Linked DNA regions of Tribolium castaneum. Each later gene encodes a partner of the first gene's protein in a complex. Links are inferred from orthologs where the notes say so. Each region holds a gene or a part of one and is shown on either strand. Other genes may lie near its edges.

What was found.
Region 2: ncm (region 1) and RING-type E3 ubiquitin-protein ligase PPIL2 share a complex: the UniProt entries of both Homo sapiens proteins name them as parts of the minor spliceosome. The link is inferred for Tribolium castaneum from reciprocal best matches to the Homo sapiens genes CWC22 and PPIL2.
Region 3: ncm (region 1) and Sf3b2 share a complex: the UniProt entries of both Homo sapiens proteins name them as parts of the minor spliceosome. The link is inferred for Tribolium castaneum from reciprocal best matches to the Homo sapiens genes CWC22 and SF3B2.
Region 4: ncm (region 1) and l(2)37Cb share a complex: the UniProt entries of both Homo sapiens proteins name them as parts of the minor spliceosome. The link is inferred for Tribolium castaneum from reciprocal best matches to the Homo sapiens genes CWC22 and DHX16.
Region 5: ncm (region 1) and crn share a complex: the UniProt entries of both Homo sapiens proteins name them as parts of the minor spliceosome. The link is inferred for Tribolium castaneum from reciprocal best matches to the Homo sapiens genes CWC22 and CRNKL1.
Region 6: ncm (region 1) and U5 small nuclear ribonucleoprotein 40 kDa protein share a complex: the UniProt entries of both Homo sapiens proteins name them as parts of the minor spliceosome. The link is inferred for Tribolium castaneum from reciprocal best matches to the Homo sapiens genes CWC22 and SNRNP40.
Region 7: ncm (region 1) and SNRPG share a complex: the UniProt entries of both Homo sapiens proteins name them as parts of the minor spliceosome. The link is inferred for Tribolium castaneum from reciprocal best matches to the Homo sapiens genes CWC22 and SNRPG.

Annotation. Positions count from the first base shown.
Region 1 is NC_087398.1:673,815-678,359, reverse strand, and holds ncm (pre-mRNA-splicing factor CWC22 homolog), read left to right. Parts: upstream 1-1,623; 5' UTR 1,624-1,752; coding exon 1,753-2,917; intron 2,918-3,095; coding exon 3,096-3,765; intron 3,766-3,823; coding exon 3,824-4,259; 3' UTR 4,260-4,305; downstream 4,306-4,545. UniProt on the Homo sapiens protein: Required for pre-mRNA splicing as component of the spliceosome. As a component of the minor spliceosome, involved in the splicing of U12-type introns in pre-mRNAs. Promotes exon-junction complex (EJC) assembly.
Region 2 is NC_087395.1:15,994,602-15,999,021, reverse strand, and holds the start of RING-type E3 ubiquitin-protein ligase PPIL2, read right to left. Parts: upstream 2,843-4,420; 5' UTR 2,728-2,842; coding exon 2,696-2,727; intron 2,642-2,695; coding exon 1,684-2,641; intron 1,644-1,683; coding exon 1,492-1,643; intron 327-1,491; coding exon 137-326; intron 89-136; coding exon 1-88. Other genes in the region: Ubc2 (ubiquitin-conjugating enzyme E2-24 kDa), read left to right, coding at 3,568-4,030. UniProt on the Homo sapiens protein: Has a ubiquitin-protein ligase activity acting as an E3 ubiquitin protein ligase or as an ubiquitin-ubiquitin ligase promoting elongation of ubiquitin chains on substrates.
Region 3 is NC_087396.1:14,198,189-14,202,398, reverse strand, and holds the start of Sf3b2 (splicing factor 3B subunit 2), read left to right. Parts: upstream 1-1,285; 5' UTR 1,286-1,432; intron 1,433-1,556; 5' UTR 1,557-1,591; coding exon 1,592-1,691; intron 1,692-1,742; coding exon 1,743-1,969; intron 1,970-2,021; coding exon 2,022-2,203; intron 2,204-2,254; coding exon 2,255-2,456; intron 2,457-2,509; coding exon 2,510-2,686; intron 2,687-3,259; coding exon 3,260-3,492; intron 3,493-3,629; coding exon 3,630-3,984; intron 3,985-4,038; coding exon 4,039-4,210. Other genes in the region: uncharacterized protein LOC103313715, read right to left, coding at 1-919. UniProt on the Homo sapiens protein: Component of the 17S U2 SnRNP complex of the spliceosome, a large ribonucleoprotein complex that removes introns from transcribed pre-mRNAs.
Region 4 is NC_087398.1:7,194,336-7,197,858, forward strand, and holds the end of l(2)37Cb (pre-mRNA-splicing factor ATP-dependent RNA helicase DHX16), read left to right. Parts: intron 1-628; coding exon 629-2,009; intron 2,010-2,056; coding exon 2,057-2,275; intron 2,276-2,469; coding exon 2,470-2,653; intron 2,654-2,707; coding exon 2,708-2,932; 3' UTR 2,933-2,951; downstream 2,952-3,523. Other genes in the region: zinc finger protein OZF, read right to left, coding at 3,365-3,523. UniProt on the Homo sapiens protein: Required for pre-mRNA splicing as a component of the spliceosome. Contributes to pre-mRNA splicing after spliceosome formation and prior to the first transesterification reaction.
Region 5 is NC_087400.1:96,388-100,631, reverse strand, and holds crn (protein crooked neck), read left to right. Parts: upstream 1-1,544; 5' UTR 1,545-1,642; coding exon 1,643-1,681; intron 1,682-1,735; coding exon 1,736-3,712; 3' UTR 3,713-3,740; downstream 3,741-4,244. Other genes in the region: Nle (notchless), read left to right, coding at 1-1,338; protein OPI10 homolog, read right to left, coding at 3,954-4,244. UniProt on the Homo sapiens protein: Involved in pre-mRNA splicing process. As a component of the minor spliceosome, involved in the splicing of U12-type introns in pre-mRNAs.
Region 6 is NC_087399.1:11,299,412-11,303,920, reverse strand, and holds the start of U5 small nuclear ribonucleoprotein 40 kDa protein, read left to right. Parts: upstream 1-1,647; 5' UTR 1,648-1,745; coding exon 1,746-1,856; intron 1,857-1,904; coding exon 1,905-2,034; intron 2,035-4,509. Other genes in the region: uncharacterized protein LOC656468, read left to right, coding at 22-128. UniProt on the Homo sapiens protein: Required for pre-mRNA splicing as component of the activated spliceosome. Component of the U5 small nuclear ribonucleoprotein (snRNP) complex and the U4/U6-U5 tri-snRNP complex, building blocks of the spliceosome.
Region 7 is NC_087395.1:18,416,531-18,418,972, forward strand, and holds SNRPG (probable small nuclear ribonucleoprotein G), read left to right. Parts: upstream 1-1,262; 5' UTR 1,263-1,390; coding exon 1,391-1,422; intron 1,423-1,467; coding exon 1,468-1,615; intron 1,616-1,670; coding exon 1,671-1,721; 3' UTR 1,722-1,775; downstream 1,776-2,442. Other genes in the region: zinc finger Ran-binding domain-containing protein 2, read right to left, coding at 226-906. UniProt on the Homo sapiens protein: Plays a role in pre-mRNA splicing as a core component of the spliceosomal U1, U2, U4 and U5 small nuclear ribonucleoproteins (snRNPs), the building blocks of the spliceosome.

The DNA.
Region 1 (4,545 bases):
CTAATTAGTAATTATTGCAGAAACATGTTAAAATGAGTAACGATAAGTGGTTTTTTAATGACTTATTTGGGTCGATAAGTTGACCACTAAAAGGTTTACTCATTATTGCGATTAGAGCAACGAGACGACTTTTGGAGGCCTTATTTTCGGTCTTGTTGCGCATTTTACGATAACCCTTTTGTGACCTTTTTATCGGAACTGCACCCAAAACTATAATTAAAATTCTTTCCCCTAACTACTCAAGCGAGTGGTCAATTAATTTCTAAAAAAAGAGCGATTTGTGCGAAATAATTATTTACCATGACTGCAAGTTCCACTTGTAATTATTCCAAGCAAGATGATTAACAAAAGTCGCAACCTTGGGCCCAGCACCTTTAGCACCTACACCAACCCGGCACGCTTTTTTACTTAGAAAAAGTACCAAAAATTGGGCAAAATTTTGGAAAAATGGGAGAGGAGAACGCGCACGGTATCGGCACCGAAAGGTTGAGAACCAACTGAATTGCTATAGCATGGGTACTCTCCATAAAGCAGCCTCGGGCTCTTTTGTACGGATTGGTTTCGTTGGTCGATCTTTGAAACAGCTGGAGCTGGGTTTAAGTTCACTTGGCAGTGACCTTGATGCCTCGAAAACGCTGCATTCGCACTGTTTATTGTTCAAACTGTTTAATAAAATATGGTACACGCAAACATTTCACATATTCATGGGAGGCCTCCGCGAAATTCCGCAAAATTAAAATGCGTGACCTTATCGTTCTCCGCGCCGATTTTTTAAAATCCACAAACTGAATAAAATACCTTGTAACACTTTCAGTATGCCGTAAAAACGCTCTTTTCACCGCGGAAGTATTGTTGAGAAATCTTTGATCGAACTTGTTATTGTGCCATAAAAATTTAATTGTACGCTAGAGCTGTTATTAGCCACTATTATCGGTTTTTGCTTGTTTTTGCACCAACAGCCATTTCTCTTCAAGAAAAAGCGAAAGTCTGTGTCAAGTTATTCATTTTATGGGAACACATTAAAAGTCGCTGTCGAAGTAAATATTCTGAAAATATCGCGACCTGAGAACCATAAGGTTCTGACTATTTCACAATTTTACAATATCATATCTTGTCTTCTCAATTGCCTGAAATGTTATCATAAAATATAACACGTATTATATGTTAATCTACAAACAAACAATACACAATACAAGAAAAAAATAGCAAACTTTTCAGACATGCTCTACTTAAAATTTTATTGTTTTGAACTTTTAAATCAATATTTAAGGTTCCAAAGTAACAAATTTTGCCAAAATTACTTCCATGTAGGTACTTTTTGTTTTCTATCAATAGCTAAACGTTACATCATCTAGTTTTCTTTTATTTAACATTTAAAGATCATTAAAATCCCAAAATTCCCAGGTCGTGATATATTTTTTAGGCAAACGTGACCCCCAAAATCACATTCAAATTTTTTTGAAATTTTAGATTTGTCACTAATTTAGTAAGTCTGTAAATTTTCAAATATGTCTGGAATTAATAAAACCACCAATTCCTGGCCCTCTAGTTATGTTATAATTGCGTAAACACGTACATATAATTAATTATAATTTATTCTAAATGCACAAAAAAATCTGGCGACTTTAAAATTCAAAAATAGTAGGGAATTTGTCATTATCACCAGTGCCACATAACCTCAACCTCTTGCGTTGTTGTGTGTTGTCAATAATCGCCCCAATTTCTTACTGTGTTTTTGTGAGTGCTTAAAAAATGACCACCGACACCGAAACCTCCCCACAGCCCAAACCCAAGCGTAAAAGCCGCTCCAAATCCCCTGAATCCCGTAAAAAACGTCGTGACGACTCGCCCCATAAAGACTCCCGGAAGCGTTCCCGCCGTTCGCGTTCACGAGACCGTCGCAAAAGTCGCAAATACCACGACTTGGACCGCCCCCTTGAAGAATACCCTCGGTATTACGGCGAGGATCAAGAACACAAGAAAAACAGCGATAGATATTGGACCAAATACCCCCGCAAGGATGACCATCAGGTGGGTAGTAGGTATTACGGGGGCGAGCCCGACGATAAAGACAAAGAGTCTGAGAAGGAGACGGATAAGTCGGTGATAGCCCCCCGTGAGCGCAAAACCGTGGATTTACTGACACGGACAGGTGGGGCTTACATCCCTCCAGCGAAGCTGCGGATGATGCAAGCGGAGATTACTGATAAGAGCTCGGCGGCGTATCAAAGAATTGCGTGGGAGGCGTTAAAAAAATCCATTCATGGGTTTATTAACAAGGTGAATACGTCCAACATTGGGATTATTTCGCGGGAATTGCTCCATGAGAATGTGGTAAGGGGGCGCGGACTGCTCTGCAAGTCCATAATACAAGCGCAAGCTGCGTCCCCAACTTTCACAAACGTGTACGCAGCCCTGGTCGCTGTCATCAATTCGAAATTCCCTAATATTGGAGAATTGTTACTGAAACGTTTGGTTTTGCAATTCAAGCGCGGTTTCAAGCAGAATAATAAAATTATCTGCATTTCGGCCACGACTTTTGTGGCTCATTTGGTTAATCAGAGGGTTGCGCATGAAATTCTCGCCTTGGAGATTTTGACTCTTTTGGTGGAGACGCCAACTGATGATTCGGTTGAAGTTGCGATTTCGTTTCTGAAGGAATGTGGACAGAAATTGACTGAGGTTTCGAGTAAAGGCATTAATGCCATCTTTGAAATGTTGAGGAATATTTTACATGAGGGGAAGTTGGAACCGAGGATTCAGTACATGATTGAAGTTATGTTCCAAATCAGGAAGGACGGGTTTAAGGATCATGCCGCTGTTATTGAAGAGTTGGATTTGGTGGATGAGGAGCACCAGTTTACACATTTGATTACGCTGGATGATGTTAAGCAATCAAATGCTGAGGATATTTTAAGTAAGGAAACTTTTTAATTAGGTGGAACTGTACTTAATTTTTTATACAAAAAAATCGGGGTATCCAGGTTTTGAGATTTTTTATTATTATTTTTTTATTTCTCAGAAAAAATTATTTTGAAATTTTAATTAATTAATTCCTTAATTTGCCTCGTTCACTCTGTGATTATCCTGTCTAGATGTGTTTAAATTCGACGACAACTACGAGGAAAACGAGGGGAAGTACAAGACTTTGAGCAAGGAAATCCTGGACATGGACAGCGAGTCGGGCTCCGGCTCGGAGGAAGAGTCCGGTGACGAGGAAGACGACGAAGACGAGGACGAAGAGGAAGAAGAAGGCGCCCAAAAGAACGAATCCAACATAATCGACAATACGGAGACCAACCTCGTGGCCCTACGCAGAACAATCTACTTAACCATCCAATCAAGTTTAGATTTTGAGGAAAGTGCCCACAAACTAATGAAAATGGAACTGAAACCGGGCCAAGAAATCGAATTATGCCACATGTTCCTCGACTGTTGTGCCGAACAACGGACTTACGAGAAGTTTTACGGATTATTGGCACAGAGATTTTGTCAAGTGAATCAGATTTATGTCGAGCCATTCCAACAAATCTTCAAAGACACGTACGCCACAACACACAGACTTGACACAAATAAATTGCGAAATGTTAGCAAGTTTTTCGCACATTTGTTGTTCACCGATGCGATTGGATGGGAGGTTTTAGAAATTATGAAACTGAACGAAGAGGATACCAATAGTTCCAATCGGATTTTCATCAAGATTTTGTTCCAGGAATTGGCCGAATATATGGGCTTGGAGAAGTTAAATGCCAGGCTTAAAGATGCGTAAGTGACTGTGTTTGATAATTAACGAGGTTTTGTTAATTTTTTGGATTTTTTTCAGAACGCTTCAGCCACATTTTGAGGGGCTGTTTCCGCGCGATGATCCCAAAAATACAAGATTTGCGATTAATTTTTTCACGTCGATTGGCTTAGGGGGGCTTACGGCCGAGTTGAGGGAACATTTGAAAACAGCCCCTAAAGTCAATCCCTTGACGATTACTGAAAAATCAAGTGATTCTAGCAGCAGTAGCACTAGCAGTTCAAGCTCATCCAGTTCCGATAGTAGTGATTCGGATTCGTCAAGTTCCGAAGATGAGAAACCACGTAAGAAGAAGGAAGAAAAGAAGAGGAAAAAACCGACAAAAGAAGCATCAGACGATGATAAAAAACGAAAAACAGATGCGAGGAAACACAGACATAATGAGAGACGGTCACGCGATCGAGACGATCGGAGGCGGCGTAGGAGCCCCGAGAGGAAGCATAAGAGTAGGAGATAAGTTACTTTGTACATAAATTGTATTGAATAAATATTTTTATTTGTGACTTGTGTTTGATTCCTTAAAGTTACCAGATTTGAATTTGGCGCTTAGTCAAACCCACACTTTTGGCATTTTTTTTGACGAAATGTGGGTGTTAATTAAATTGCGTGTTTGTGCTTTTGCTAAAATGAGACAAATTTGGGTGAAAATTTTAATTTTGGGTTAGTTTTAACTGAAAATTTGGGTGAACAAGGCTTGGTGGTTTTTGTTGGCGAGGTTGGCAAGCAGTTTCGTCGGGTCCGAG
Region 2 (4,420 bases), on another chromosome or scaffold:
TTAGGGTTTTTTGAGCTTCCGCTTTACGTCTCTTCGCCTCTTCTTCCTCCTTCTGTCTTTTCAATTCCTCTTCGCGTTCTTTCGCCAACTAAAAATTGACCAAAAATAACACATTACAACAGAATAAGACAATCACTTGTTCGTCCGCCTCTTCAAATGGATTCACAAAAACTTGCGCCCTTATAAGCACAATATCCTCAATGGGCTTATCCTTATTGTCCACTTCAATTTTTTCCATTTCGTTTAAAGTCTCCATGCCACCAACTAAACGACCAAAAATCGTGTGCTTATTATTCAAGTGCTTGCACGACCTGTATGTTATGAAACTAAAAAAAAAAACAATTAAATTTTTGATTATTGCTCAGTGGCTGAGTTTGAAATTAAGTTGGCAAAACTGGACGTTGGCATTTCCCGTTATATCATGAAAAATACTTCAGTTTGTGTATTCATTAAATCATTAAAAGTTTGGAAAAAGTATGGGGAAAATTTACTCATTTTTTTTGTAAAAAATAAAGTTATGGCTACGGATATAAACAAGTTAGGATATGAAACGACATACAAATAAAACGTTCCTGTATTCGATAGTTCCGTTAATGTCGCCAGAGAGCGCAGATGTTCCATTACCGTCTAAATTTTCAGTGCAATGAATTTGAAAAAATGGTTGTGTTTGCATAACGGTTAACACATGACAAACAAAAAAATACAGGCAGATAGAGCATTAAATTCGCAATAGTAGGACATAAACGTAATGCAAAAATTTTATCTTAAACTATATTAAAATAAAAACTTTTACCAACTTGCACTCTGACTCATATTTTTGACAACTCTGCAAATACGGTTACAGATGCAAGAAAAATGTTAGAAAGATAATTGTAGACAATTAAATTTCCTACAAAAAAGTCCGCGGGACTATATCCCTATCTTCAACCATTTAGGCCCCAAAATCGCCCAAAGACGCTCAAGCGACGAATTTGCTTCATTTTGCCAGTGGTCAAGTATTGAAAAGTTAGTTTATAACCAAACCGTTTAAAATAGAAATATGGTGTCGTGGACTTTTTTGTAAAAAATTTAATTCTCTACAATTTTGTTCCTTACACTTTTTTTGTATCTTCAACCGTATTTGCAGCGTCTTGAAAAATACGAGACAAAGCGCAGATTTAAAAAAAAATCACAAACATTTTAGTCGTCAGTTTTTCTCAGACTTAAGGGTGCAAAGCTCAACATTGGTTGAATTTAAATTAATTTAAAACGATTTGGCGCCGAGACAGTATAACGCTCAAAGCGCCCTCATTTTTAGTCCACCGTACTATTTTTTAGGTTCAGAAAATCCTGCGATTTCATCTCCTAACTTATAGTCCTCCCTAGTTATGACATAAATGAGTTTTTTTGTCACTTTGACATTTCAAACGACAATTGACTATTAAAGTTAACATTTGACTGTTGCCATTGTTGCCAACTTAACTTCAAAGTCAAAGGCTGCGTAAAACATACAACTGTGACCCATTTGTGTTTTTCCCACTGTTGGCCATAGACAAGACCCCTCGCCCCACATGTTGCAAATTGGGCCTGAATTCATCAACGAATTTCTTCCCCCAAATGGATTCGCCCCCAGTCCCTGTCCCCGTCGGGTCGCCCCCTTGAACCTACATTTCGTTAGTTTTAGCCCCCATGATGGGTCCCTACCATAAAATTCCGAATAGATCTGTGAAATTTCGTCCCGTTGTAATAGCCACTCGCACAATGCCTGATAAAATTCTCCGAAGCACGTGGCACTTCGTCGCAGTAAATCTCCAAGTTGAGGGGCCCCAAGTTCGTGATTAACCTCACATAGCCTTTTTTCTTGACTCTGTCGTATCGCACCTCATCTTCGTGCTTCACTGCGGCTTCGTGCACCAATCGGGGGACCATCGCTGTTGAGGTGAAACTCGCAGCCACAGCCCCCGTTGAATAATGGGCAGCGTTGAACTTGTCCGCCTTTTCCTTAACTTCGACTTTGTTTATTTCAATTGTTGGCTCTTTGTAGTCCCGTTTTAGCTCCTCAAGGGTGTATTTTGTTTCAGGGTTCACGTTTTTCAAGTGGCCTTGAGGGTCGTTCTTCTCCTTGATTTCCTCCTCGGTTTCGATTCGTAAATTGTTTTTGACGTGGTGGAAGTTGGAAATGTTGAACTTATTTAAGTCTAGTGGGTCCTGTAACATGATGATATCCTTGCGTTCGAAGGGCGTATCACTGATTAAGTCCTTCCAGTTTTTGTTCTTAATATTAAGCTGTTCCACTGCTTCCATCAAGTACACGTTTCCAGTGGTGGCAATCGCCACAATGTGGGAGCTTTTGGTGAATTGTTTGTAAAGGACGGGGCACTCAAACTCGCCTTCTTCATTTTTGTGGAAATTCAACTGCACCAACGACTTGAAATCCAGAGGCTTTCCCGTGACTGGGTTTATCTTGAACTTCTTCAAAAAGGGGAGCAAAGGCTCCAAATCAAAAATATTGCCGTCCAAGTCACAGTAGGGTATTTCCCACGGTTGCAACGACAGGCAGCAGTGGTCAAACGGGAGCCGCTTAAAATAGTCCTCCTCCGCGGTCGTATAACCCGATTTTTTGCCCCCGTAAAGAGTGGTCCACTCTGTGTACGTCAAGTACCTTAAACAAAATTGCGTTAATTACGCACTTGAAACTGATTTTGGACAGGTCTACATTTTGTCTTTCTGGTGCTGGCGCTTCCCCATTTTGCTGTAACTTGTAAAGAGGTAAAATTAAAAAATATAAATCACACGACTTTGAGGTTAGCTCGCTGTCACAACAACAGGTAGACAACACGCGCACTCTTCATGCCCCTAGATGGGTGCAAAGGATTTTGAATTTTTTAAAAAATAATCCGCAATTTTTTGGTAATTTTCGGCGAGGTGTTGGCGACCGACGCCCTGGGGGTGTGGCACAGGGCGGTTTTGTTGCAAATAATCGAAATTCAGGTTTTTGGGCTGTGCAGTTTTTGCATATTTCCGGTAGTATGGTGGCAGGCCTGAGTGCTCAGCGAGTACGCCATGAGCCGATATTAGCAAAAAGGGAGTGAATTGTTTTCAGTTTTTAGTGCAAAAATTAATACAAGTAAGTGTAATTGCTGCTGAAATTTCCCGTTCAATGCCAGTTTCACGTTCCTGAAACTCGATTAGGGCCGTTTATGCGCGTATTAGCCGAGTAGGCGCTGAAAAAAATCGTCAACTTGTGCCGTAAATATCGCCCAATAAAAGCGATATCGTATCGAAATTACAGTAATTTCGGGTTCGGCGTTGTGTTTTAATCGATAATTATTGAATTCCGTCCCGTTTTTCCCAATTTAATGGAAATTTACGGCTTGTGTAATGCTTGAAATCAAAATGGCCGACTTAGCTGACAGGAATCAATTTTGGTTTTGAGAAGGGTCGCAATAATCGGTTACCTGTCCCGGCGATCGCAATCAGACATTGAACCCCATTGTTGCTTGAGGTGACTCTCTCGCACGGTCGCCCGTCAGCCCCCGGCGAGCGCCGGGAGGAACAAAGAGGTGATTTTTTGTTTTGTTTAGCTCGATGTCTTCAGCTGGGTCTAGCGGATCAGGCCGTGGTCGAGGCGGTCAAGCAGCAGTCGGTGATCAAAAGGAAACAAAAGAATCAAAGCCTAACCAGAAAATGTCAAAGGCCTTGGGCACATCAGCGAAAAGAATCCAAAAAGAACTAGCAGAAATCACGTTAGACCCGCCGCCGAACTGCAGTGCGGGCCCCAAAGGGGAGAACTTCTACGAGTGGGTGTCCACGATCCTGGGCCCCCCGGGGTCCGTCTACGAGGGCGGCGTCTTCTTCCTGGACATCCACTTCTCGCCAGAGTACCCCTTCAAGCCACCTAAAGTCACGTTCAGGACGAGGATCTACCACTGCAATATCAACAGTCAGGGCGTCATCTGTTTGGATATTTTGAAAGACAACTGGTCGCCCGCCCTCACCATCTCCAAGGTCCTCTTATCTATCTGCTCCCTACTCACCGACTGCAACCCAGGTGGGTCAATTTCTCTTAATCGTAATCGCAACAAGTAAAACAATGAATCGCATTTATTTTTAAAATTCTTGTTGGATTAAAAACGTGCCAAATAGTTCGTAGACCCGCAGCGAGCAGACAAATATTAGACCGGCGTAGTCACCGGCATGTTTTGAATATTTTTAAAGGCACGCGATGAATGTAAATTATGCTAATTTCCTGTGAAAGATTTTGATGAAAGTTGGAGAAATTTTTGCCAAATAAATTGCATCCTTGAACTCAAAAAGTTGCTGATTTAACATATCAATCAATGTGAAATACAGTTACGTCGATTAATGAAGCGGATCGAGGTTAATCGTTGTCTTTTTGTTGCCATTCGTACTGGTAATCCCTCTGAACAATATTAATTAC
Region 3 (4,210 bases), on another chromosome or scaffold:
GACTCAAGTTTACAGACTTGCAATTTTCAAAAGATTTTGAATCTTCAATTTCCCTAAACGAAGAAAACTTTCCTTTCCCACTTTCGTCCGCTTCCAAAGAAGACAAATTCTGTTTTTTGGTCTTTGGTGTCTTGCTTGAAGCAACAAAATTGGGGAAAGTACCATTGCTAGGACTATTTTTCTCTGTAATACGTCCATCTTGTGTACTCTTCTCGTTGACTTCAATGTAGCTTGAACTTCCCTCATCTTCATTTAAAGGGCTCAAATTTACGCTCTTGCAATTTTCTGACGGTTCTTCAAGAGATTTAAAATCTTCAATGTCTCTAAACGAAGAAAACTCTCCTTTCCCACTCTGTCTTTTGACCTTTGGTGTCTTGCCATGTTTATTTTCTTTTTTCACGTGTCCATCTTGAGCCATTTTCTCCGTGACTGTGATGAAACGTGAACTTCCCTCACCATCACTCACAAGATTTACAGAATTTTCGGAAGATTTCTCCTTCAAACTTTTTGTAGTGAGATCTAATGTCTCATCATTGCACTTGTCTTCCAGTTCACATTGCTTGGTACTCCTAAGAACTCTCTTAGCTTTGACGATTTTTCTTTTATTTTTTGGTACAGGTGGCGGCGAGATTTTTTGAACTTCCTTGAACAAAAAAGGGCTTCCTTTGTCACTTTTCCCGCTCTCATCGAACTCCAAACGAGGCAAATTCTGTTTATTATGCTTTGACGACGTTGGCTTAATATTTTCGTCTTCTTTTTCCACTGCAGAAGCATTAAAACTGAAGAAAAGCAAATCGTTCGTTTTTCTGACTTTTCGTCCACTTCTTGTTGCTTTGGCACTGCTTAAGGGGCCACTGGTGCTTTCCATTTCAGGTGGATTTAGTTTTTTATTTAAACGTCTGCTGGACCTCACTGACATTTTAATGCAAGCTATAAAACAATTTTTATGTAATTTTCGTATCAAAAAAACTCGGTTTTTACCTTTAACGTTGTGTTAAATCCAATTATTCGCTTTTTATAGTAACTTTACAGTAAACAAGGCACACAAATGACAAACCGACAACAAAACCGTTTTTTTGAATCTGACATTTGAGATTGAGATGCGTGATTGGTCCAAATTAGATTGGCATCTTGTTTGAAAAATAAATTGATTAAATATTTATAAATTATTGTATTTACAAGATGTTAATAGAGAAAGTTGTAACTAACTGGATAAATAACTACTACATTTGATTTATTCTGTATGAAAATTTTGGGAAATGTTTTCGCTTTTGCAGGAAATCGAGCTGTCGCGATTACGGTCGCATTCGCTCTAATTCCAAACAAAAATGTCGACCGAAACGTTGCTGAATGCCGCAATAAATTATTAATAATATTAAAAGTTTGCGGTTTTTCCTCATTGTAGATAAAATTTAACAGACTATCTGTTATAGTAAGTTCGCTTCTTGCTTTGATTCAAACATTTTTTAAGAAATTAGTATGAGAAAGAGGTTATATCAAATTGAGAAAAGTGCTTTTTAGTGTTAGAACAATTCCATAATCCCGTCTCCTTTCAGCTTACGGCTGCAACAAGCACTGATTCTACTGACAAATGAATCCGGATCAGCTACAAGAGGGTGTCCCGGAGCACCCTGTGCCCCACCAGGAAGGGATGTTTGGGTCAGGTATGCAAGGGTGGGCTGGTGAACATGGTAATTGATTGTTTTCAACCAGTTTGTTTATATCGCATTGGACTATTTCAGGTGTTGGTGGTGAAAAACAACTCCCCTCATTGCTATCCCTAAAAGTGGATCCTCCTGATCAGATGATGGAGACGCCACCAACTGAAGTTGTTTTACCTCAAGTGTTGGAAGAGGTGTTGGCGTTAAAAAATCAGAGAGCGCGTGAACTAGAACGAGAAGAAACGGAAACAGTAGTTCAACAGCCGCAGACTCCTAGAGAGGCGCTTTGGGAGAAAGATGACAATATTGTAGCTTTTTTAATTTTTTGTATGAATATAGTTATAACGATTGTTTTTTTAGGAACCCGTGGTTGAAAATGAAGAAGAGAGTCAGGTGAAAGAGACCACCAAAATCAGTAAGAATAAAAAGAAGAAGAAAAGGAAGAAGAACAAGAAAAACAGGGAGAATGAACAGAATAAAGCGGCTGAAGAGGAGGAGAAAAAGGATGGGCAAGAGGATGGGAATACAGATGTGGAAGTTGAGTAGGTGTTTTTTCTATTTGTTTGACAAAATTGTTATGAGTTTAATTAAAGGTACGTCCAAGAGACGATTAGTCTTCTTGAACTGGCTCCACAATACCGGCAGTTTTATAGCATTTTTGACGTGTTTAAAATAACTGATCAAAAGCATGATATCCCACCCCCAGTTCTGGCAACGCCAACATCATTGTCAAGTAAATCAATGTTAAATAGCATAGGAGATCACTTTCAGGAAGAAATGGAAGATGGGGACGACGTAAGTGTTGTATTACATTATGAATAAAAAATATGTATCTATTTTTTTTTCAGAAAAAGCTTGACGATAAGTCAAAAATGTCCAAAAGAAAGCTTAAAAAATTGACGCGACTTAGCGTCGCCGAGCTTAAACAACTAGTCAGTAGACCAGACGTTGTAGAAATGCACGATGTAACAGCCAGGGACCCAAAATTGTTGGTCCAATTGAAAGCTCACAGAAATACCGTTCAGGTAACGATTATAATTTTCTCAAAAATTAAAAGTAATGCAGCCATTCCATGATTACGGACGGCACATAACTATTATTTTAAAAATGGCTTATTAAAAAAAAAAGATGGATTAACAATTTAAATTCATTTTGCCACTTCTAAAAGTTGTTATAAATAATTAGTTACGGATGGGACACAAAAAATTATGCTTTGTAACAATTTTATTATAACACGAAAATGTTAACAAAATTCAGGAACTACTAACAATTAATAAAAAAAGAGAATACCTTTTATTAAATTATTATTAAGAATAGAATTAAGTCGTAAGCTTTGGAAAAATAATTTTCGTCACTACTTCCAATTTGAAAACTCTTAATTTTGCGCACATATAGAATTCTGTAGCATTATTAATTATTATTTTCTTTAGACGAACTTTGTTCCAAACTAAACATTTTACTGAACGCATAAGAAGCAAGGATTTGAATTTTTTATTAAAAAGTGATGTTTTGGAACAAACTTAACAGATTTTTCATAATAATAAAGCAGATGAAAATATATGCGGAGTTAGCAATTGGCTGAATAATGTGTTTTTCAGGTACCACGTCATTGGTGTTTCAAACGAAAGTACTTGCAAGGTAAACGTGGTATAGAGAAACCACCTTTTAATCTTCCAGATTTCATTAAAAGGACTGGAATCATGGAAATGCGTGCGTCATTGCAAGATAAGGATGAATCCAAAACACTCAAAGCTAAAATGCGGGAAAAGACCAGACCCAAACTTGGAAAAATCGATATTGATTATCAAAAATTACACGACGCATTTTTCAAGTACGTTTTTTTTATTTTTGATAAAAGCTAAAATTGCTATTGTTTGTAATTGTGTATTCGTAGAGATTGGGAATAATTGAAAAAGATAGACAGCTGTTTATTTAGAATTTTTTTTATAATCTCATTGTTATTGTTAGGTGGCAAACTAAACCCAAAATGACCATCCATGGGGACCTTTATTACGAGGGCAAAGAGTTTGAAACCAGATTGAAGGAAAAAAAGCCTGGAGATTTATCAGAAGAATTAAGAACGGCCTTAGGAATGCCTGTGGGCCCTAACGCTAATAAAGTACCCCCACCATGGTTGATTGCAATGCAACGTTATGGTCCCCCACCCAGCTACCCCAACTTGAAAATTCCGGGATTAAATGCCCCCATCCCTGATGGTTGTGCCTTTGGGTACCATGCCGGTGGGTGGGGAAAACCACCGGTGGACGAAAATGGAAAACCATTGTACGGTGATGTGTTTGGAACAAATGTTACCAACATAGATGTAAGTATTTTATAATATTGTTTTATTGAATTTTGTTCAAATATCAATGTTTAGGACATTGGTGAGGACCCTTCCGTGGATCGCACCCTCTGGGGCGAGCTCGAGTCCGAATCAGAGGAGGAGGATGAGGAAGAGGAGGAAGACCAAGACAACCAACAAAACGCCGCTGACGAATCCGGTCTTGTTACTCCAGCTGAGGGCTTGGTGACACCTAGTGGTCTCACAA
Region 4 (3,523 bases), about 6.5 Mb from region 1:
GCATAATTTTTTTATACAGGATGCTCAAAAACTGGCGCACCAATTTAATGGTACGTTGTTGAGCAAAATTCGTTAAAAAATTCCTAATCTCATATTTTAGAAAGTCTAGAACTACAAACGTATTTTGTTAATGTCTTCAGTTTTCATTATTTTTTAATGTTTTTATGTTTCTCACTAAGTAATCGTTTCTTAATAAAATAATGATTAATTATTTTTAAATTTACTATCAGACTTTAGCAGTTTTCTGAATTTAAAAAAAATTAAATAAATCAAAAAATCACAATTTGTAGATGTGTCAACATTGGGCATTATTTCCTAGGAAACCGTTTCAAAAATAATTAATTTTTATTGTTGAACAAATTCTATTGCGATCACGACTATTAGACAACGTTGCCACATATCATTTATTTAAAATTCGGTATTTATCAATAACTGTAATACAAAGAATTTTTTACTATTTTTACCTTTATATTTAAGCATTTCTCTACCGCACATCATTGAATTGGTGCGCCGGTTTTTGAGCACCCGGTACATTTTTTAGGGGTATTAGGATTTTAAAACGATGAGATAAGAACTAGTCTGTGAGGTATTAAATTGGCAAAATTGTACCAAAATAATCAATAAACAGGCACACGAGAGAAGAAAGAGCCCGAACTAACCGAAAAGGAAAAAAAGAAGCTCGACATCCAAGAAACGAAGAAAAACCTCCCAGTCTACCCGTTTCGCGACGACTTGATCCAGGCCGTCCGCGAGCACCAGGTCCTAATAATCGAGGGTGAAACCGGCTCTGGAAAAACAACCCAAATCCCGCAGTACTTGCACGAAGCCGGCTTCACCAACGACAATAAAAAAATCGGCTGTACGCAGCCACGCCGTGTCGCCGCCATGTCGGTAGCGGCCCGCGTAGCCCAAGAAATGGAAGTCAAACTCGGCAACGAAGTCGGTTATGCGATCAGATTCGAAGATTGCACATCCGAACGTACAATCATCAAATACATGACCGACGGCACGCTCCACCGCGAATTTTTATCCGAGCCCGACCTGCAGTCCTACAGCGTCATGATCATCGACGAGGCCCACGAGCGGACGCTACACACGGACATTTTGTTCGGTCTGGTCAAAGACATCGCCCGGTTTCGCCCCGACTTGAAACTGCTGATTTCGAGCGCAACGCTCGACGCGCAAAAATTCTCCGAGTTTTTCGACGATGCGCCCATTTTCCGCATTCCAGGCCGGAGGTTTCCGGTGGATATTTACTACACTAAGGCGCCAGAGGCCGATTATGTGGACGCGTGCGTTGTTTCCGTTCTACAAATTCACGCGACTCAACCGTTAGGGGATATTCTTGTTTTTTTGACCGGTCAGGATGAGATTGAGACGTGTCAGGAGTTGTTGCAGGATCGGGTTCGCCGGTTGGGCTCCAAAGTCAAGGAACTGATTATTCTGCCCGTTTATGCGAACCTGCCAAGCGACATGCAAGCGAAAATTTTTGAACCGACGCCTCCAGGGGCCCGGAAAGTTGTGCTTGCGACAAATATAGCGGAGACTTCTTTAACGATAGACAATATAATCTATGTTATTGATCCCGGTTTTGCCAAACAAAACCACTTCAATTCGCGGACTGGGATGGAGAGCCTGATTGTGGTGCCAATTTCGAAAGCCTCGGCTAATCAGAGGGCTGGGAGGGCTGGCAGAGTGGCGGCCGGGAAGTGTTTTCGTTTGTACACCGCCTGGTCCTACAAGCATGAACTGGAGGACAATACCGTGCCGGAAATACAAAGGATTAATTTAGGCAACGCTGTACTGATGCTGAAAGCGTTGGGGATTAACGATTTGGTGCATTTCGATTTTCTTGATCCGCCACCACATGAGACACTTGTTCTGGCACTGGAACAGTTGTATGCTTTAGGGGCGTTGAACCATCACGGGGAGTTGACGAAGTTGGGGCGCAGGATGGCGGAGTTTCCGGTTGATCCGATGATGGCCAAAATGTTGTTAGCTTCGGAAAAGTAAGTTTGGCTTTTTGTGTGGGTTTGTTACTGTTTGCTTTTTGCAGATACAAATGTTCAGAGGAGATTGTGACTATTGCGGCCATGCTTTCGGTCAATGGGGCGATTTTTTACAGGCCCAAGGATAAAATTATTCATGCTGACACGGCACGCAAAAATTTTAATCACATAGGGGGTGACCATCTGAGCTTGTTAAATGTGTACAACCAGTGGAGGGATTCCGATTATTCCACCCAATGGTGCTACGAGAATTTTATACAATACAGGTGATTTCTCTTATTTTTTCTGAAATCTGCCATAAAAGAAAAATAAAATAAAGAAAAAAGAATGAAAATGTTTCAAACTAACCGGTTCATCTTCAGTACTTTAAAAAAATTAGAAATATAAATTAGAAAAATATAAATTTCAAGTTATCTAGTTGTTGAAGATACGTAAATAATTGTGCTTTATTTTGTTGTAGATCTATGAAAAGGGCTCGCGATGTGAGGGAACAGTTGGTCGGTTTAATGCAAAGGGTTGAAATCGACATGGTGTCAAATATAACCGAGGCTGCAGACATTAAAAAGGCTATAACCGCCGGTTATTTCTACCACATTGCTCGGTTATCCAAAGGAGGGACTTACAAAACCGTTAAACATAATCAGGTTTTAACACCAAAAAAATTATAGTTTTCTTTGTACTGAGAGAAATTGTTTCAGAGTGTCACAATACATCCCAATAGTGCCCTTTTTGAGGACTTGCCAAGATGGGTTCTTTATCACGAGCTGGTTTTTACCACCAAAGAGTTTATGAGACAAGTTATAGAAATCGAGAGTAAGTGGCTTTTGGAGGTTGCACCTCATTATTACAAGCAGAAGGAACTGGAGGATTCTACCAACAAAAAAATGCCAAAGACTGTCGGGCGTAGCACCAGAACTGAATAAAGATTTTTTAGAACCGAAAGCTTTTTATTATAATAATGTAAAAAATTGAAGAAGTAAAGCAGTTTGGTATTGTTGGAAAAAATTCTTATTTCTTCTCATGCAAACAATAGAACAGTAAATAAATTGCTTGTAAATGCAAAAGACACTATAGAAAAATAAAAATGTATTAGTGATAATACAATATACAAATATAAGTGTAAATACTTTACTTTTGTAAATAAAATTACGAAATCGAAATAATTTGTTTTTATAAAAAAAGACAATGAAAATAATAAACTAATCATAATGAGATGAAAATACTGAAAGGCGATAATAAAATAGCTTTTCTCGTCTAATTATTTTTTGGTTTTACCAATTAAAAAAGGGCATAAAAATATATAGCCCTTGTGACTAGTATTTATTCATAAATAAATTTATAAAATCTCCAAACCTTCACTGTTTTTCATGGCCTTTCATGTGCGTCCTCAGGGCGCTGCTCTGCACATAGGCCTTTTCGCAGAGCTCGCACTTGTACGGCTGCTCCCCCGTGTGTATCCTCTCGTGCACTTTGAGCGTGGACTTTTCCCCAAACGCTTTCCCACAGTGGTTACA
Region 5 (4,244 bases), on another chromosome or scaffold:
GACATCATCGACTTGCCCTTGTCTTGTACTGTGTCCCAGTTGACTGAAATTTGCAATGCTCTCCTCGAAACCACAAATTCGTACATTTTTTACGCCAACGACACCGAAATCACACATTCGCTCGAAAAAACCTTAAACTTGTCGGACTTGAACACCGAAACCGTCATCGACATCCTCTACCAGCAACAAGCCGTGTTCCGAGTGCGTCCCGTGACAAGATGTACAAGTTCAATGCCAGGCCATGCCGAAGCTGTCATTTCCGTGAGTTTTTCCCCCGATGGTAGACACCTAGCGAGTGGTTCTGGCGATACAACCGTTCGGTTCTGGGACGTGGACACCCAGACACCTTTTAAGACATGTAAAGGGCACACGAACTGGGTGTTGTGCATTGCGTGGGCCCCCAATGGGCGTAAACTAGCTTCGGCGTGTAAAGACGGCAAGGTGGTGGTATGGAACCCCGAAAATGGGGCCCAGATTGGTAAAACTCTAATTGGGCATAAATCATGGGTCACGGCCCTGAGTTGGGAACCCTACCACCAAAACGCCGAGTGTCGCTTTCTAGCCTCGGCGAGTAAAGATTGTGACGTCAGGATTTGGGATACGGTCCTGTGTTCTTGTACTAGGGTTATTTCTGGGCATTTGAAAAGTGTGACTGTGGTCAAGTGGGGCGGTCTGGGGCTCCTTTATACGGCTTCGCAGGACCGGACTGTTAAAGTTTGGAGGGCTAAAGACGGTGTGTTGTGTCGTACGTTAGAAGGGCACGGTCATTGGGTCAACACTTTGGCCCTCAACACTGATTATATCCTCAAATTGGGGGCGTTTGACCCAGTCAAAGACACCCAAATCCAATCACAAGACTTCGTCCTGCGTCGTTACAACGAAATCGTTAACCCTATCGGTGATGAAAGACTCGTCTCGGGCTCCGATGATTTCACTTTGTTTTTGTGGGCCCCCTCAAAAGACAAGAAGCCGTTAAATCGGCTCACGGGGCACCAACAATTAGTTAACGATGTGAAATTTTCACCAGATGGTCGCATTTTTGCCTCGGCTTCGTTTGATAAGAGTATTAAATTATGGGAGGCCAAAAGTGGTAAATTTATTTGTACGTTAAGGGGGCACGTACAGGCTGTTTATGTGATTTCGTTTTCGGCCGATTCTAGACTTTTAGTGAGTGGAAGTGCCGATTCAACACTCAAATTGTGGAATTTGAGGGAGAAGAAATTGGAAATTGATCTGCCAGGTCATGGGGATGAGGTCTATGCGCTTGATTGGGCCTCAGATGGCTCCAAAGTGGCCTCGGGGGGTAAAGACAAAGTCTTAAAGTTGTGGCAAAATTAAATGCAATAAAATTTTGTAATTTTTCTCGAATTTTATTTAAAAAAAAAACAGAAAACTGTAATTGTGCGCGACATGTGGCGTCACCAGTGCAAATCTACAAATCCAATAATACAAAAACTGGCTTGCGGAGTTTAATTACTTACGTAAATTATTGTTTAATCTATATTACAACAAACAAACACTCGATCAAAATTTAAGGCACGATATTTCACAATTTGTGTGGTCCAAACATAACCACAAAAAATCGTAAGGTTATGTTCGTGTTTGTTTGTTGTGCTACAAGTTGGTAAAAGTCGCCCCTGAGATGGAAACCAAGCCGCAAAAGATGCCCAAAGTGGCCAAGGTACGTTATTTACCTTCTCTTTCAACTTAATAACTAACTAAAATAATTTTCCAGGTGAAAAATAAAGCCCCTGCTGAGATCCAAATCACAGCCGAGCAGCTCCTTCGCGAGGCAAAAGAGCGCGACCTTGAGATTCTCCCTCCGCCCCCTAAGCAAAAAATCTCCGATCCAGCTGAACTTGCCGACTACCAACTCAGACGCCGTAAACAATTCGAAGACAACATACGAAAAAATCGAACTGTTATCTCCAATTGGATTAAATATGCCCATTGGGAAGAATCGCAAAAGGAAATCCAACGAGCTCGTTCGATATTTGAACGTGCCTTGGATGTGGACCATCGTAACGTTACCATTTGGTTAAAATACACTGAAATGGAGATGCGAAACCGTCAAGTGAACCATGCTAGAAATTTATGGGACAGAGCCGTCACGATTTTGCCCAGAATCAACCAGTTTTGGTACAAATACACCTACATGGAGGAGATGTTGGAGAATGTGGCTGGGGCCAGAGCTGTCTTTGAACGCTGGATGGAGTGGCAGCCGGAGGAACAAGCCTGGCAAACGTACATCAATTTTGAGTTAAGATACAAAGAAATCGACCGTGCGCGAGAAATCTACGAACGCTTTGTTATAACACATCCCGAAGTCAAACACTGGATTAAATACGCCCGATTTGAAGAAAATCACGGTTTTATCAACTCGGCCCGCTTGATTTACGAACGAGCTGTACATTTTTACGGTGATGACCATTTGGACGAAAAATTGTATATTGCATTTGCACGGTTTGAAGAAAACCAAAAAGAACATGACCGTGCTCGCGTTATCTACAAGTATGCCTTGGACCATCTCCCCAAAGAACAAGCGAAAGAGCTGTACAAAGCCTACACCATACATGAGAAAAAGTACGGCGATCGTTCCGGTATTGAAGATGTGATTGTTTCGAAACGTAAGTTTCAATACGAACAAGAGATACTCGAAAATCCGACCAATTACGACGCTTGGTTTGACTATTTGAGACTGGTGGAGGGGGAAGGGGACCTTGAGACGTCACGTGAGACGTATGAGCGGGCCATAGCCAACGTGCCACCAACGAAAAATAAACAATACTGGAGGCGTTATATTTACTTGTGGATTAATTACGCCCTGTTTGAGGAAATCGAAGCGGTTGATTATGAAAGAACACGTCAGGTTTATAAAGCTTGCCTTGACTTGATCCCCCATAAGTTATTCACGTTTAGTAAAATTTGGTTGTTGTTTGCACAGTTTGAAATCAGGCGGAAGAATCTGATTGGTGCTCGTAAAATTTTGGGGACTGCCATTGGTAAATGCCCACGTGATAAATTGTTCCGTGGGTATATTGATATAGAGATACAGTTGCGTGAGTTTGACCGGTGTCGTATTTTGTACGGGAAATATCTAGAGTTTGGTCCGGAAAATTGTGTGACTTGGATGAAATTTGCCGAGTTGGAGACACTTTTGGGGGATTTTGAGCGTGCTAGGGCCATTTATGAGTTGGCAATCGCTCAGCCAAGGCTAGACATGCCTGAGCTGCTCTGGAAGGCCTATATCGATTTTGAGATCGGGCAAGAAGAGTGGGCTAATGCCCGACAATTGTACGAAAGATTGTTGGAGAGGACAAGTCATGTGAAAGTTTGGTTGTCGTATGCGAAGTTTGAGTTGAGTTGTGAGTCGGATATGAATATTAGTTTGGCAAGGCGTGTTTATGAGCGGGCTAATGAGAGTTTGAAGAGTTATGGGGAGAAGGAGGCGAGGGTTTTGTTATTGGAGAATTGGAAGGAGTTTGAAAGTGCAAATGGGAGCGAGGAGACGAAGGAGAAAGTTGAAGGGAAAATGCCAAGGAGGATTAAGAAGAGAAGGAAGGTTATTGATGAGGATGGTGTTGAGCAAGGATGGGAGGAGATCTTTGATTATATATTCCCTGAGGATGAGGCCAGTAAACCCAATTTGAAGTTATTGGCAGCTGCCAAAAGCTGGAAGAAGCAGAAGCAAACGGAAGAACCGGAACCGTGATTTTGAGAAAATAGAATTAAGGTTTAAATTTTGTTTTATTCCCCTTTTGTCACTTATCCAAGCGCTATCTGGTCAACGATTTTGCACTGCAACAATTAATTTTTTGTGGGCAAATGATAAGATAATAAAAAAATCGATACTTTATTCATTTAAATACATTAAAAGCGAGTGAGTTTTGAGACTTAACAGCCGCCATAATCCAGCTTTGATGAACACAAGACACACGTATGCACACATTCCTCTACGTTTTCCAAAAATTGGGGTTTTGTTGCAACCGTCGTTCAAAATTCGTGTACCAGTTCTGTACTGTAGCCAACGGAACGTACGTGGCCGTGGGATCTGGGACCATTTGCGGTTGCGTCACCGTATAACTCAGCACAAAATTCATAAAATTCTCCAACATTTTCTGAGCAAACGTGACATTATTACTGGGATTATTCGCCGATTCGATTTCCCGAATATTCGCCAGCGGCTCAATAGCGATCCCTATTTGCGCATTGTGTACGATGTGACTTTGCCCGAATAAAATATT
Region 6 (4,509 bases), on another chromosome or scaffold:
TTTCTTATTTTCCTGTTTCAGTTATTTACGTCTACATGTGGCTTGTGGTCTTCAGTTACTTCACTTTTATTCGGGAAGAAACCAAACGTGGGGCTTATATTAAAGATCCGTTCCGACGGCACTATTAGGAAAAACTGTGTGTTTTTATTCAACCAAAGACAGAGAATTGTTTGACGGAGTTAATTTTAGTTAAAACTAGTCTAAAAAAATGTGAAATGTGTAACACGATTTGTTGTTGATGATATTATTGCAAGATATTAATTTTTTATGACGTAGGTTTTAGTCTATTTATTATTGTTGAAATAATCTGCTAATCCACTTTAATAAATGTTTATTTTGCTATTTCTTTCCATCTAACACATGCATTTTACAGAATATGGAAATTACGCAAACTTTGATGGAATGCCGCAAATATTTATCCACTTTGCGTGTCGCAAAGTTTAATGTTTGAGCACTTATTTTAAATATTTTTATTAGATTAGTTGCATCACACTCTCCGTAGGCACGGAAGTAAATATTTTAAGTAAAAATTAATTAAAATGAGTTATAAAAACAGGATATACATATTCTGGAAGAAACGTACGTAAATATTTGCAAATGTTTAGGCAATTTTTTTGGCATGCAATCAGTGTTTTAAGTTTTTTCTGTAATATCGTCTAAGAGGAAGAAATCATTAATCAATGTCGGTCTGTTAACAAAATTCTACGTTTAAAAAAGGCACAGATAACATAATTTTCCAACAAATTTGGGATTTTCGATTAATGATTTTTAGTGTCATTTTAAGAGTTTTTTTACAAACTGATTTATTTTAGAGTTTAAATGAGTTCAAAAATTGAGCAAAATAAACCAAAGTCAAGTCAATTTTTAGTTAATTTAAGGATTTTCACGGTGTTTTTTCACGAAAAAAAGTGCTAAAATATTAAATAAACATCTGAAAATAGACAAATAACATTATTTTTAACACGATTTAACAACCTTTTGGATTGTTTTGCCAAAATTACACAAAAAACATTAGTATCTAGTATCTAATTTTGATCAAGTTTGCTGATTTTTAAGTTTCTTCTGACAGAATTTAAGAAAATATGTAGTTTTTAAGTCGAAACTTTACTGAATCAAACAAAGCAGACTATAATAACGACTATAATTTGGAAGATATCATTCTTATCAATCTATTTTAGTAAAATTACGCAAAAAAGATGTTTGTAGTTTGAAAATGAGCCTAAACTCCGGGGGTTCCTCCTAAACTTAGGAGATGAAACAAGATATAAAATTACAGGAGTTTCTAATCCCAAAAAATTAGTACGACACACTAAAAATGATGGCGCAATAATGCAACAGTCTTATGGGGTTGTACCTCAAATATTTGCCAAGAGAAACTTAATTGTGTTTCAGTGTTGCAAATTACTAACAAAAATCTGTTAGTACCGGGAAAATACTGACAATTTTAGAGCAAAAAAGTAATAAGAATTACGCAAAGTGAGTTAAGTGAGCTAATATTAATCGTTTTCGAAATTTTGGCAAGTAAAAAACCAAATAATTTTTAGATATCGACATTGGGAAACCATTTCATTGTTGTCAAACATTTATTCCAAAGGAGATAACTATTTGTTTTATATAATTGAAACAGGGTATACAATCAAATCGTACTTCGTGCTCTCCACCAGAGGGCGCTTATCGCTTCGTTTTGTTGACGCTAAAAAGTGAGGTTATTGTTTTCCTCCCAATTTTTGTTTAAAACACCAAAAATGGTTGTTGAGAAACGTCGAGCCGAAGATTCATCATCTCTAGTCCCCGTAAGCAAAAAATCGAAAAATGAAGTGGCCACATCGAACAAAAACAAATCGGTCTTACAAGCGGTTAGTAACACTTAACCTCAAAAACCCTCCTCAAATCATGTATTTCAGGCCCCTGCGAGAACTTCCAATCTATTTGCCCCCATTATGTTACTGGAGGGCCACGAGGGTGAGATTTTCACAGTGGAATTCCACCCTGAGGGTCAATATGTAGCTTCATCAGGTTTCGACCGTAGAATTTGTAAGTTGTTTTTTTTGCAATGAGGTTCAGCCAAATAGGTCTTCATATCAAAATTTTGGAGGATTTACTTGAATATCTAATATAGTAATTTGAAGTACATAGAGGGTGTCTTAAAATTAACGCCCGTGCGTTGGGAATTTGATTCAGGGGGTTAACATAATTCGAAAGTTAAGAGTAAAAAATTTTCAATTGTTATTGATAAAAATGTAAATAATAAGCTTAAAGCTGTTTTTCCAATTGTTTGTGCAACATAATTCATCAGTTGATGTTAGCAGGGCTGAGCCATGCCAATTGGCCGCCTGTGTGCAGGTTCCAATAGTAGTTAAAAATTACCAAGTTAAATAAATGGAAGCAAATGTTCATTTTTAAAATATTCTGAACTAGTTTATTTATTCAAAAATAAAACTATTTGTAACAAGAATATTTTTAAATTTTGTACAGGTACATTAGCTGTTAAAAATAATTTGATAACTACAGTTCATTCTTTTTTATAATTAACTGTCAGTGTCAAAATTTTGATAAAGACCAGACTGTATCACACCAAAATCTCATGTCTAATCACTTTCGAAACTAGCTGTATTCTGTATTTGACATTTTACACACCAGATTTGACATTCGGGACAATTTTTGCAGCCAATGAAATTTGAATTCGTTAGTCTTTAGAATTTGTTAGCCTTTTAAAAAAATGTGTTGTGCGTGTTGTAACTTAAAGACCATTAAATTAAATTTGCCAGGTAAAAATTAGTACCATCTTAGTAAAAATTACTATTTATGGTAATACTAACCTGACGGCTCTTTGACAGTTGATTATAAAAAAAATCGACTATATGTATACACGAATTGTTATTGCTTTGTTTTATCAGGGGTGCATGTTTTTTATTTTTGTTTTTTAACTAATATGAAAACAACCTAAAAACAAAAAAATAAGGAAAAACAAACAATCGTTCTTATAAAATAAAGCCAAAACAGAAAAATAAAGCCCTTGTGTAAAATTATTCATAACTTTTTTACCTCTTTCATTTTTTTATTCTTTTTGTTTTTTGATTTTTTGCTCCATTTGTTTGAATTTTATTATACAGCGTGCTCAAAAACTGGCGCACCAACTCATTGGTGTGTGGTAGAGAACTGGTTACATATAAAGGTAAAAATAGTAAAAAATTCTTTGTATTAAAGTTATTGATAAATAACGGATTTTGGATAAATGATATGTGGCAACGTTGTCTAACAGTCATGATCGCAACAGAAGTTGAGCAAGAATAAAAATAAATTATTTTTGAAACGGTTTCCTAGGAAATAATTGCCAGTGTTGGCACATTTACACATTGCGATTTTTTGGATGAATTTTAATTTTTTTAAATTAAAAAAACTGCTAAAATCTGATAGTAAATTTGAAAATAATTATTCATCGTTTTGTTACGGAACGATTACTTGGTATGAAACATAAATACATAAAAAAAATAATGAAAACTAAAGAAGTTAACACAATAAGTTTGTAGCTCCAGATTTTTCAAAATATGACTTTAGGAATTTTTTAAACATTTTTCCCGTAATCTGCACTTGCTTCTCAATAATGTACCACTGAGTTGGTGCGCCAGTTTTTGAGCACCCTATATTTATCAGAAATATGAAGGAGTGTAGTACTAAAATAGTAAACAAAAAAGTTGGTGGCTATTTAAAATGTTATTTTAACATGTCTTTTCTCAATAACTGGATGTCAAAGACTAGCGTTTCTAAAAATAAAATTGATTTGTGTATTGAAAAAAATAAGCCATAACTAAGATATAAATTTTATGTGTTATATTAAGTTTACTCTGTAGAATAATTGGACAGAAAATTTTATGGTTTCATTCTAGAATTTTTTAATTTTCTAGTCCGTATAAATGACTACTATTTAGTCATTTGCTAAGTAAAATGTTGACATTGCGTGGTAAAATAATCTAAATGCTGAGTGGTAATTATTTATCTATTTTTAGCGATATTTGGCCAACCAGTTTTGCAAGTTATTTGTGCGTTAGGTATTTTACAGGGTTCAATTTTTGTATTAAAGCCCTCAACTTCGTTTCGAGCTTCAATATTAAAACTTCACGCTGTAAAATTTTACCTACTACAGGTAAATTGTAAATAACTATTACTAGAAAGGCTATCATTCCCTAAATTTATGCGTGTAAGTTAAGACTCACCCTATATACGTCTGAACTTATATTCATTTAGGGATCTTCTCCAAAAAGGTTTCTAACTTTATTCAGAAGGAACATATGAGGATGTAAATAAAGAAAATTATCAATTATAGTTTTTCGAAAAATTTTATTTTTTTATAATAAAGGCAATACCAAATTCAAAAACGTCTTCCGCATTCAATTCAACAGAAAATTTTATGATTTTATTCTGTTTTTTTAAGTTGTACAATCATTTCTTTACTTCTAATCACTCTAACTCTGTTCATTTTCATAATGAAATTAAAAGAATCCAAACTAT
Region 7 (2,442 bases), on another chromosome or scaffold:
GTCACTGTTAATTTTACAATTAATATGGGTTACTCGTGGACGATAAATATTTTACAGCGTAACAACTACAAAAACTAACAAATTTCGTTAGTCACTTGGTGCTAGAATCTATTCGATTTTCAGGTGAAGAAGAATGTAAATCAGGCACCAATAAAAGTAATGGTTTATTGTGTATACCTAACTCGAATTTACCACCATACAAAGCAGATTTATTCACCTAAATGTCTATAAAAATTTCGACTCGACTAATGACTTTTTTTTTTCGTGTTGTGGAGACCGTGACCTCGACTTAGATCTTGAGTTATTTTGTTTACTATTCGATTCCCCTGAATCCCCCCAATCCGACAGATCATATTTCGATAAGTCTCCGTCGTCGTCATCCTCCTCCTCGTCCTCCTCCTGCTCCTCCTCTTCTTCCTCCTCAACCTTCTTCTCCACCTTATCTACACTATTTTTCATCTCCTTCACCTCCTCACTTTTCTTCTTTTTCCTCCTCCCGAACTCGTCATATTCGTCGTCAGACTCGTGCTCCTTATACTCGACCACCCCCCTGTCGTTATACCCCCCACCGAACCCCGTCCTCTCCTCCACCTCCCCAAACTTGGGGGCGTTACAAACGTTACACTGCTGCCTCCGCGCCCAATTCACGTTACCGCATTTGTTACACTGCCAATCGTCGGCACTAAACAACCCGCGACTTTTCTCTGCCGCCGCTTTACCGATCTCGTGCCCCAATTTGCGCTTTTTCGCCGACACCGGCCCCCGACTTTTGTAACAACGGTTACAGTTGTTACGGCGGGCGAAATTTACGTTACCGCAGTCCGGACACGTCCAGTCTCCCTCGTTCGACGCCGACGGGCTTTTCAGCGACGGCGGCGGGGGCGGTGTCACTTCGGCCTCTTCCATGGGGGCGATACTAGACTAGAAAAGGCGTAAAGAGTAGTGGCTAGAAGGAGCACTACTAGAGGGAACGGAGGAGCAAATGTTAACATCTGGCGGTACTGGTACTGCTTTTACCTTTACTGAACCTTTTTCCAGCGGTTATTCCAACAAATTTGTTGATAAAAAAGTAACGTCAAACCGAAGATGCACCGAAATGTCACTAGCACAGAGGGATTTTCGACGCCAAACGTTGCCCACACCAATCAGGACACGATCACCAAAACAACAATTGCCTTATTTCAACGCAACACTTACCGATTTCTGATTACAGTTATCACCAAAACCAATGACTTGTTTTGTTTAATTTTTTGCATTAACTATACGTTAAAAATGTGAAAAAATTGGGACAACTGATCATGCCCTGTACTTAGCAACTGTCAAATCTGTCAGTTTGTGTCAAGCGTTTGAAGAGCGTTTTAAATTTTAAAAACTCAAAAAAGTACACAAAATGTCGAAAGCACATCCTCCGGAATTGAAAAAGTGAGTCTTGTTTTGTCGTAGAACGTATTACTAGTTTTTTTGCAGATTTATGGACAAAAAATTGTGTTTGAAGTTGAATGGGGGCCGACAAGTCGTTGGTATTTTGCGCGGTTTCGACCCTTTTATGAATCTAGTGGTGGACGAGAGTGTGGAAGAGTGCCGGGATGGCAAGAAAAACAATATAGGGATGGTGGTACGTTTCTTTTGAATTAGTGTGGATTTGAAATTTGAGGTTATGTTTATTACAGGTGATCCGGGGAAACAGTATCGTCATGTTGGAGGCTCTAGATAGGATTTAGTTTGTAATTTTGGCTTAATCGATAATTATTTGTAATAAAAGCGTTCGATTCTGACCGAGTTTTCTTTTATTGGGCTTGGGGTAGGGTGGAAATAAGTGAATTAGGGTAATAGGAGGGAAAGCATTATCGTCGTCGCTTTTGTGCGTTCATTCACAAAGAAATTCAATTCGTATTGTTTTCCTCGAGCGGTTTGTCCGTAACAGTGTATGAAAAGCTTAGAGAATGTCGCATGCGCGCCGCCACTGTTCCACCGTCGGGAAAATATTGGAAACGTTCGCTAGTTTGGCATTAAAGCGTCTCGGCGGCGACGTTCCAGTGAAAATTTTCGTGTAGTGACGAGTTTTCCAGAGCCACATCACAATCAGCGTCAGGTATTGCCCCCATTGACAGTTTTTCCGGGAAAACATCCGGATCGAAATTAACACCCACTCGATTTTAATGTCATTTCCTTGGAAAATGAGTTTTTTGAGGAACAGTCTTAAAGCAACCACCCTTGACTAGGTCAAAGGAACACGCTGAAATGTATTGCCCTATAAGATTTCGCTTTAATTAGTTAATTGTGCCCGAAACAATGGACATTATAACTACAATCCCCAAATTAAATGGAATAATTTTTTAAATAGAATCTTGTGAAAGGTGACGGGTAATATTGGGATAAAATCGGCAATCAAACTCCGAAGATGACACTAAGAGACTTTCCAACGTCATATTGACCCGTCTT